Saccharomyces cerevisiae S288C: one gene and its partner. The protein of the gene in region 1 binds, or shares a complex with, the protein of each later gene. Links are inferred from orthologs where the notes say so. Each region holds a gene or a part of one and is shown in the gene's direction. Other genes may lie near its edges.

Region 1 (4,067 bases):
AGACTGCAGAACATGGGGCAGGACACATCCTAATCTTGACCCTACTCCACTACTAGAAAGATTCAAGGCTATTTATTATTCACATAGAGAAGTAGAATTATGTCGTACTGTACATAGGTTAGACCATTGTGTTACGGGGGGGATGCTGATTGCAAAGACTAAAGACGGAAGTGTAAAATTCTCTAGATTTTTACAAAAGGGCGGCAACAACGGTTATAAGTTGCAAAGAAAGTATGTAGCTATTGTCGAGTCGTCCGGTCGTTTCAACAAACCAAATAACTATGAAATTAAATATGGTCCTAAATATAATTTCTTGATTTCACATGGTGGTAGGGAGATTACTAAGTTCAAAGAAGTTGACGAAAATTGTATTGTTTTACAATTGGTTACAGGAAAAAAACATCAGATTCGAAATCACGTCTCTCAAATTTTAAATCAGCCCATATTAAACGACAAGAGACATGGCAGCACTGTCAATTTTCCAGAGTTGTTCAATGACCAAATAGCGTTGCATTCAGCGTGCATAATAACGAAAATTGGCCTGCAAACTAAAACGCACTTGATACCTATGGAACACAATAATACTGGCCAACTTTGGTCAAGAAAATACGTCAATGAAGAGGGTGAGTTCACTTTGCCCATAAAAGAAGTCCTGTTGGAAAACTGGGACCAGTAAAATAAGCAATAAATAATCGGTTATTAAATTATTTCTAATACACATATATAACGAGAATAAAAAAGGTAGTCACCACTAACCAAACCATATTGATTAATTGATGATTACTGCCTCTTTTTTTCCACAGGTTTGTTATCCCATAATGATTTTAAAGAGGCAATAAGACCAGCTTCTTGACTCTCTAATTTATATATACCGACGAACGATAAAAAGGAGCCCAAGCTCAATAAATACATCGCGTAATGATGTACCTTTCCATAGACTCTTTCAGAAATATAGTCTATAATGCAAGACTGAAATCCGATATGACAATGACCTAGCAGGACCAAGGAAAGAAATGTGTCGGTAAAAGTGGAAATAGGGCCTGTAGTGACCAAGGGAACTGCGATCAGCGGAAGAACCGCTAAGGACAGTCCGCGCTCGACAATCCAATGGTACGAACCCTGAGCTCTGCTTTCGGGCGGCATATAAGAGGAATCATTTGCGGTCCCACTCACACCTCCAGGTTTCTGTGGAATCTTTGGCAGAAAAGGAATGGTAAAGGATCTGGCAATTGAAGTATGAAAAGCCCTTATTCTGCAGAGTGGTTTCAAAAACTTAGTCGATGACATTCCTACTTTCCTAAGAATTGGGGCAACCTTTTTGAGAATCGTTGCTGATTCATTAGAACTGATAAACGGTCTGTCCACTGGGGACTGAAAATATATAGGTTTGCTTCTATGAAATTCGACGTCAAAATTAAGGGATACCTATGGCCAGCGCCCTTCAACTGACGATTTTTAGTTATCATACGCGTCCCTTATTATCTTAAACCGTAATAAAAAATCGTTACTTCGGATAAGGGTACTCCAATCTGGATGTGAGAGTCTGATAGTACCATGTTAGAGCCGCGTTGAAGGTGCGAATCAGGGTTTTATTCTCCTTAAACTTGATCCCGTCCAAAGGAGTTAAGAAGTAAAATGCACGGCTTTACTAAGACTATATTTACGTATTAAATTCCTCAACACGTAGTGAGGAAAGCTAAAATGCTGAGCTTAATTTCTCAGCCAACAATGGGTGATACTACTGTTCAGTGCACAGATTAGATGACCAATATTATTTTCACGTATTTAGTGATATTCGTAATCGAGCTGGACTCATCTCTTTAGTAATAAGAAGTGAATTTGAACGCTATGGATAAATCATGATATCTTGCTCTCAGGCATCAAACTAGTGCGCAAAGTGATAGGTGATCATACAATGTTTTCAAGAACAGCATCCAAGTTCCGTAATACACGGAGGCTTTTAAGTACAATTTCCTCACAAATTCCAGGAACCAGAACCTCTAAACTTCCTAATGGGTTGACAATTGCCACAGAGTACATCCCCAACACATCTTCGGCTACTGTTGGAATATTTGTCGATGCTGGTTCTAGGGCAGAAAACGTAAAAAACAATGGTACAGCGCATTTTCTAGAACACTTGGCTTTCAAGGGTACTCAGAATAGGTCACAACAAGGAATTGAATTGGAAATTGAAAATATCGGATCTCATTTGAATGCATATACATCAAGAGAAAACACAGTTTATTATGCTAAGTCCCTACAAGAAGATATCCCAAAGGCTGTTGATATTCTAAGTGATATTTTGACTAAGTCAGTTTTAGATAATAGTGCTATTGAGAGAGAAAGGGATGTCATCATCAGAGAAAGTGAAGAGGTGGACAAGATGTATGATGAAGTTGTTTTTGACCATCTTCATGAGATTACGTATAAGGACCAACCTTTAGGAAGAACCATTCTGGGTCCTATAAAAAACATAAAATCAATAACAAGAACTGATTTGAAAGACTATATAACCAAGAACTATAAAGGCGACAGAATGGTATTGGCAGGTGCGGGCGCTGTTGATCATGAAAAATTGGTACAGTATGCTCAAAAATACTTTGGCCATGTGCCCAAATCTGAATCGCCTGTCCCGTTGGGATCACCAAGGGGCCCATTACCAGTTTTTTGTAGAGGTGAAAGGTTTATCAAAGAAAACACGTTACCTACAACACATATTGCTATCGCATTAGAAGGCGTGTCATGGTCTGCACCTGATTATTTTGTAGCTCTGGCAACACAAGCGATTGTTGGTAACTGGGACAGAGCCATTGGCACAGGTACAAACTCCCCCTCTCCATTAGCTGTTGCAGCAAGTCAAAATGGTTCTTTGGCTAATTCTTATATGTCATTTTCCACCTCTTACGCTGATTCAGGTCTGTGGGGAATGTACATAGTAACTGATTCTAATGAGCATAACGTGCAGTTAATTGTTAATGAGATCCTGAAAGAGTGGAAGAGAATAAAATCTGGCAAAATATCGGATGCAGAGGTGAATAGGGCAAAAGCTCAGCTAAAGGCAGCTCTGTTGCTATCGTTGGATGGATCGACAGCCATTGTAGAAGATATAGGCAGACAAGTGGTGACCACAGGTAAAAGATTATCACCAGAAGAAGTTTTCGAGCAGGTTGATAAAATCACTAAGGATGATATTATTATGTGGGCAAATTACAGATTACAAAACAAACCAGTTTCAATGGTTGCCCTAGGAAATACATCCACTGTCCCTAATGTATCCTATATCGAAGAAAAACTGAACCAATGACCACGCCGATTTATTAGTAAGTTCATTTCACATCTCTGCTAATTTCTAATTTCTCTTCATACTTGTATAAAGTTCTATGTCAATAAATTCTTGTTCAAATGAGATGTTGCTACATAAAAAATATGAATAGATATCGGCGGCTCTAGTACCCATTCCCCAAAACACGATGTCGGTATATTAACAGCACGTGTATTTTCTTTTTTGAAGGATACATTAATACTTTCTTCCTAAAACTGCACTTATAGTGGGGTGTGAAAGGGCCCTTCCCGTATTCAATATTAAAGCAGCCCTTCAGATTGCAAAAAATGCACAATAAATTTGTTAATATAAGCCACAAGCCAAAAAAAAAAAAGTGATGCAATTGTATATACTTAACATAAAGATTTTAAGTTATCCGTTACCATTGCATACAGAATTATCCAGATAATACTGTTTACTATGCTCATCGATCGTTTCATATTGGTCATTGCCTTGAAAAAAAAGCACGTGAAAAAAATACTGTGAGACCTTTTCTTGCAATATCTCGATCAGATAGCATCTGTAGCTTTCCATTTAGCTGAACACATCACACTGATCTGATAAACACCATTATATCTTCGGTATTATTTACTGAATTTTCCCTTATAGCAGCAAGGGAAAGCAATAATAAACGTGCTACTAAAAGTTTTTTTAGTCATCGCTCAATGGAGGTCAGCACAATACTGTGTGATTGGTCATAATAATTGCATTGTAGAATATCTGCCAATGAATATGTACCTACCTC
Region 2 (3,707 bases), on another chromosome or scaffold:
CGTTCAAAAAGGGGAAATTTGATGATGCTAGGATTTTTAAATGACTATTTATCAAAGAAGCTGAGTGAGGATCCTCAGTGTCTGCATCCAAATCCTCCTCCTCTTCGTCTTCTTCTTGTGTATCTCCACTTTCTTGAAGAGATTTGGAAACAGCAGCAGGTAGCGCCGGGATCACAAATCCATCTTCGGTTTTTAATTTTTTACTGGGTAATGATGCAGCAGCGTTTGAGCCAGAACGCTTTTTATTGTCAGAGGGCTTTCTAGATAATAAGCTTCCACGCAAGTCCAATTCTGCGGGGAGATGTCTTGCCAAGTCAATAGCATTAAAGGTAAGCCCTGGTGTCTTCTCCTCAACAAGTTCGGCTTCGTCTTGAAACGATTTTGCTTCCTCCAAATCTTGTAAAAGCCCAGTTTGAGTTAGTGGATCTCTAATTTTAGGAGACTTTTGCTCTGTGAGTCTTAATGCAATTTTGTAAACTTGAGCTGTGACGGAGCCGACTCTTGTCTTGGCCAAGTTAATCAATTGTTTAGATCTTCTACCTTTCATAAATCTATCCAAATTAATCGTCAGAGAGACTGTAGGTTTAACAATCCTCAATGAGGTCTTTGGATCAACCGTTAAGATTTGTGAAAGCTCATTTGGTTTATTTATGATTTTGGCAAAATCAGTTTTCGCATTCATCTTGGCTTGGGATCTTTTCTTCAAATCGGACAACGGGGAGTTTCTGGGAATATTTTTGTAATGTTTTTCATATAAAAATTGCCAGAGATCTTCGATTGGGGTATAATGCAATTTTGATATTTGAATAAGATATCCCATTTCACACAGTTGCACGAATAGTGATGAAATGGTGTACTTCATGGAATCTGACGTGACACTACTTAGATAATCTTCCACTGTTAAGGACCCTAATGATATAACGTTTTGTACAATTTCAGCCACCAGCTGTTTATGCTCCTCTTCGTCGTTTACACGCATTTGCGTAATAATTTCGTCAATAATCAACCCTGAGTAGAGTAAAATGTGTATCCCTTCCTCGTTATAGTAATAATAAGTCGTTTTTTTCCCGGATATTGCTGTTTCTTGCAGGTACTTAACACACCTTAATTGAGTTAATGAGACTAGTGTCGTCTTGACGCTGTCTACATCCATACCATCTATTTTCTCCACTAACTCGCGCACACTCAATCTGCCCAGCGCAACCAACATCCCAATTACAGAAGCTGCTCTTTCACCCAGATGTGCCTTCACCAACTCTTTGTAAAGAAACAAATCGGGATTCAAGGTTCTCTGTTCCAAGGATGATATGGTCATAACATCTTCGGGGGTGACCAACTTCTCAGATTCGACAGTGCTCTCACCTGTTTGGTTCTCTGCACTAAGCGCTTCTCCCAGTAACTCGTCCATTTGGATCTTGCTCAACAAAAATTTTTCCCTATTCCTGTGTCAGCAATTCTCTATTGTTCTCAATATTTCTTCCACTATTATTATTTTGATCCAAAATTATTTTTTTCCTTCAATGCGATGAGCTTTTGAAAAATTTCTGATCATTCCCAACGAACCAATAGAAGGCCCGCCCCGTCTTATATCCGTTAGCCTACCAAATATATATATAAAGAACAAGGGCCTTTCCTCAGAGCGTTTGCTGACGAAGTTTTAGAAGTTAATAAGGTTTTTAACAGCAGTGTGCTCGAACGATTAGGACGGGAGAGTTAAAATTATTAAAAGGAAAAAAGAAGAACGTTGATGTTGTCAGCAGCTAGATTGCAATTTGCCCAGGGGTCAGTTAGAAGGTTGACCGTTTCCGCTAGAGACGCACCTACTAAAATATCTACATTGGCTGTTAAGGTCCATGGAGGGTCTCGTTATGCAACCAAGGATGGTGTGGCCCATCTTTTAAACAGATTCAACTTTCAAAACACGAACACTAGATCAGCTTTGAAATTAGTCAGAGAATCCGAATTATTAGGGGGAACTTTTAAGTCTACCTTGGATAGGGAATACATCACTTTGAAAGCTACCTTTTTGAAGGACGACCTTCCCTACTACGTCAATGCCCTAGCAGACGTGCTATACAAGACTGCCTTCAAACCTCACGAGCTCACCGAATCTGTTTTGCCTGCTGCTAGATACGATTATGCGGTCGCTGAACAATGTCCGGTAAAGAGCGCCGAAGACCAATTGTATGCCATTACATTCAGAAAGGGTTTAGGAAACCCATTGTTATACGATGGTGTGGAAAGAGTCAGTTTGCAAGATATCAAGGACTTTGCGGACAAAGTCTATACCAAGGAGAACCTTGAAGTTAGCGGTGAAAATGTTGTTGAGGCCGATTTGAAAAGATTTGTTGACGAGTCACTGTTAAGCACTTTGCCTGCAGGTAAGTCATTGGTGAGTAAATCCGAACCAAAATTCTTTTTGGGTGAAGAAAACAGGGTAAGGTTTATCGGTGACTCCGTTGCCGCCATTGGTATCCCGGTAAACAAAGCCTCCCTAGCTCAATATGAAGTATTGGCCAACTATTTGACCTCTGCCCTATCCGAGCTTTCCGGTTTAATCAGCTCGGCTAAACTTGATAAATTCACTGACGGCGGCCTATTTACTCTGTTTGTAAGAGACCAGGACAGCGCCGTGGTATCTTCCAACATCAAGAAAATTGTTGCGGATTTGAAGAAGGGCAAGGACTTATCCCCTGCAATAAATTACACAAAGTTAAAGAATGCCGTCCAAAATGAATCTGTTTCCAGCCCAATTGAACTAAATTTTGACGCCGTGAAGGACTTTAAGTTGGGAAAATTCAACTATGTAGCCGTCGGTGATGTTTCCAACTTGCCATATTTGGACGAATTGTAAGAGGAAAGTATTTGTACAAAACGAAAAACTAAAGGCAAATATATATATAGATGTTGCCGCGCACCTTTTTTTTAATGAATATTCACACAAATATTGAAAATAAAAACAAACAAAATTCAAATAACAACATGTAAGACCAAAAAAAAATCCCTCATTATTTATTCCTTACCCTTTCCAAATTCTTACTATACTAGTAAATATATATTTAATTATCCTTTTTTCTACTTCAGCATACAATCCTTCTTTTGCCGCAGGTTTATAGTTAGACCCCTCAATTCTGTCAAGTTTCAGTGGTACGTTATTTTATGTCTCATCTCACGATCCTGGCAAAAAAAGAAAGGCATGTAATTTGAGGAGGCGATTCACCCTCATTTTTACGCAACAACAATGCTGTGTGGCTTACACGCCTCTGCGTACATATCTACATATTTAACGGTCCTGTATTTTCAAGCACGCAAGGCTGAAATAAACGGTTGTTTGCTTATGCGCGATGCACTCCGCCGAACATCACCGCAAAAGCACCGTAGGCGGAGATCTCCCAGCTAGTATGGGCATGACGGAACCACGATTTCCAGATATAGATACTTAAAAGCACTAAAAGGTCTATACATAAAACGCAGACTTACGTAAGATACATAGCAACTGCCGATATGGACGCCGCCATGCCGAATGACAAAGGGAGAATGTAGTACTAATTGATATCGTCTTATCCTCTCAGGAATGCAAACTTAAAACATACTTTCTCCCGTCCTAACAACGCCGGTTGTCGACGATAAATACCCCAAGAAATGCCCGCACAGAATCTCCTCCGTTAGGTGGTCATGCCCCGAGGGTGCGAGGTTGTTTCCTGCAC

What was found. The genes of interacting proteins can lie anywhere in the genome.
Region 2: the proteins of MAS1 (region 1) and QCR2 are in contact, whole or in part, in a cryo-EM structure (PDB 8AB7), measured with the Yarrowia lipolytica proteins. The link is inferred for Saccharomyces cerevisiae S288C from one-to-one orthologs. Residues at the interface, in XP_500073.3 of Yarrowia lipolytica: Val26, Ser27, Pro28, Leu48, Val49, Gln50, Thr51, His74, Glu77, His78, Phe81, Lys82, Gln89, His90, Leu92, Glu93, Leu94, Ile96, Glu97, Asn98, Met99, Gly100, Gly101, His102, Leu103, Asn104, Ala105, Lys117, Ser118, Phe119; in XP_505169.2 of Yarrowia lipolytica: Gln35, Asp36, Gly37, Gln38, Ser39, Pro40, Ile41, Ala77, Leu78, Val81, Arg82, Glu85, Leu86, Phe87, Gly88, Lys90, Leu91, Gln105, Leu107, Glu134, Arg135, Val139, Leu142, Ser275, Met276, Pro277, Trp278, Ser279, Val280, Gly281.

The regions. Positions count from the first base shown.
Region 1 is NC_001144.5:491,103-495,169, reverse strand, and holds MAS1 (mitochondrial processing peptidase), read left to right. Parts: upstream 1-1,915; coding exon 1,916-3,304; downstream 3,305-4,067. Other genes in the region: pseudouridine synthase PUS5, read left to right, coding at 1-676; protein SHH4, read right to left, coding at 781-1,287. UniProt on the Saccharomyces cerevisiae protein: Catalytic subunit of the essential mitochondrial processing protease (MPP), which cleaves the mitochondrial sequence off newly imported precursors proteins. Preferentially, cleaves after an arginine at position P2.
Region 2 is NC_001148.4:917,634-921,340, forward strand, and holds QCR2 (ubiquinol--cytochrome-c reductase subunit 2), read left to right. Parts: upstream 1-1,747; coding exon 1,748-2,854; downstream 2,855-3,707. Other genes in the region: RPC82 (DNA-directed RNA polymerase III subunit C82), read right to left, coding at 1-1,408. UniProt on the Saccharomyces cerevisiae protein: Component of the ubiquinol-cytochrome c oxidoreductase, a multisubunit transmembrane complex that is part of the mitochondrial electron transport chain which drives oxidative phosphorylation.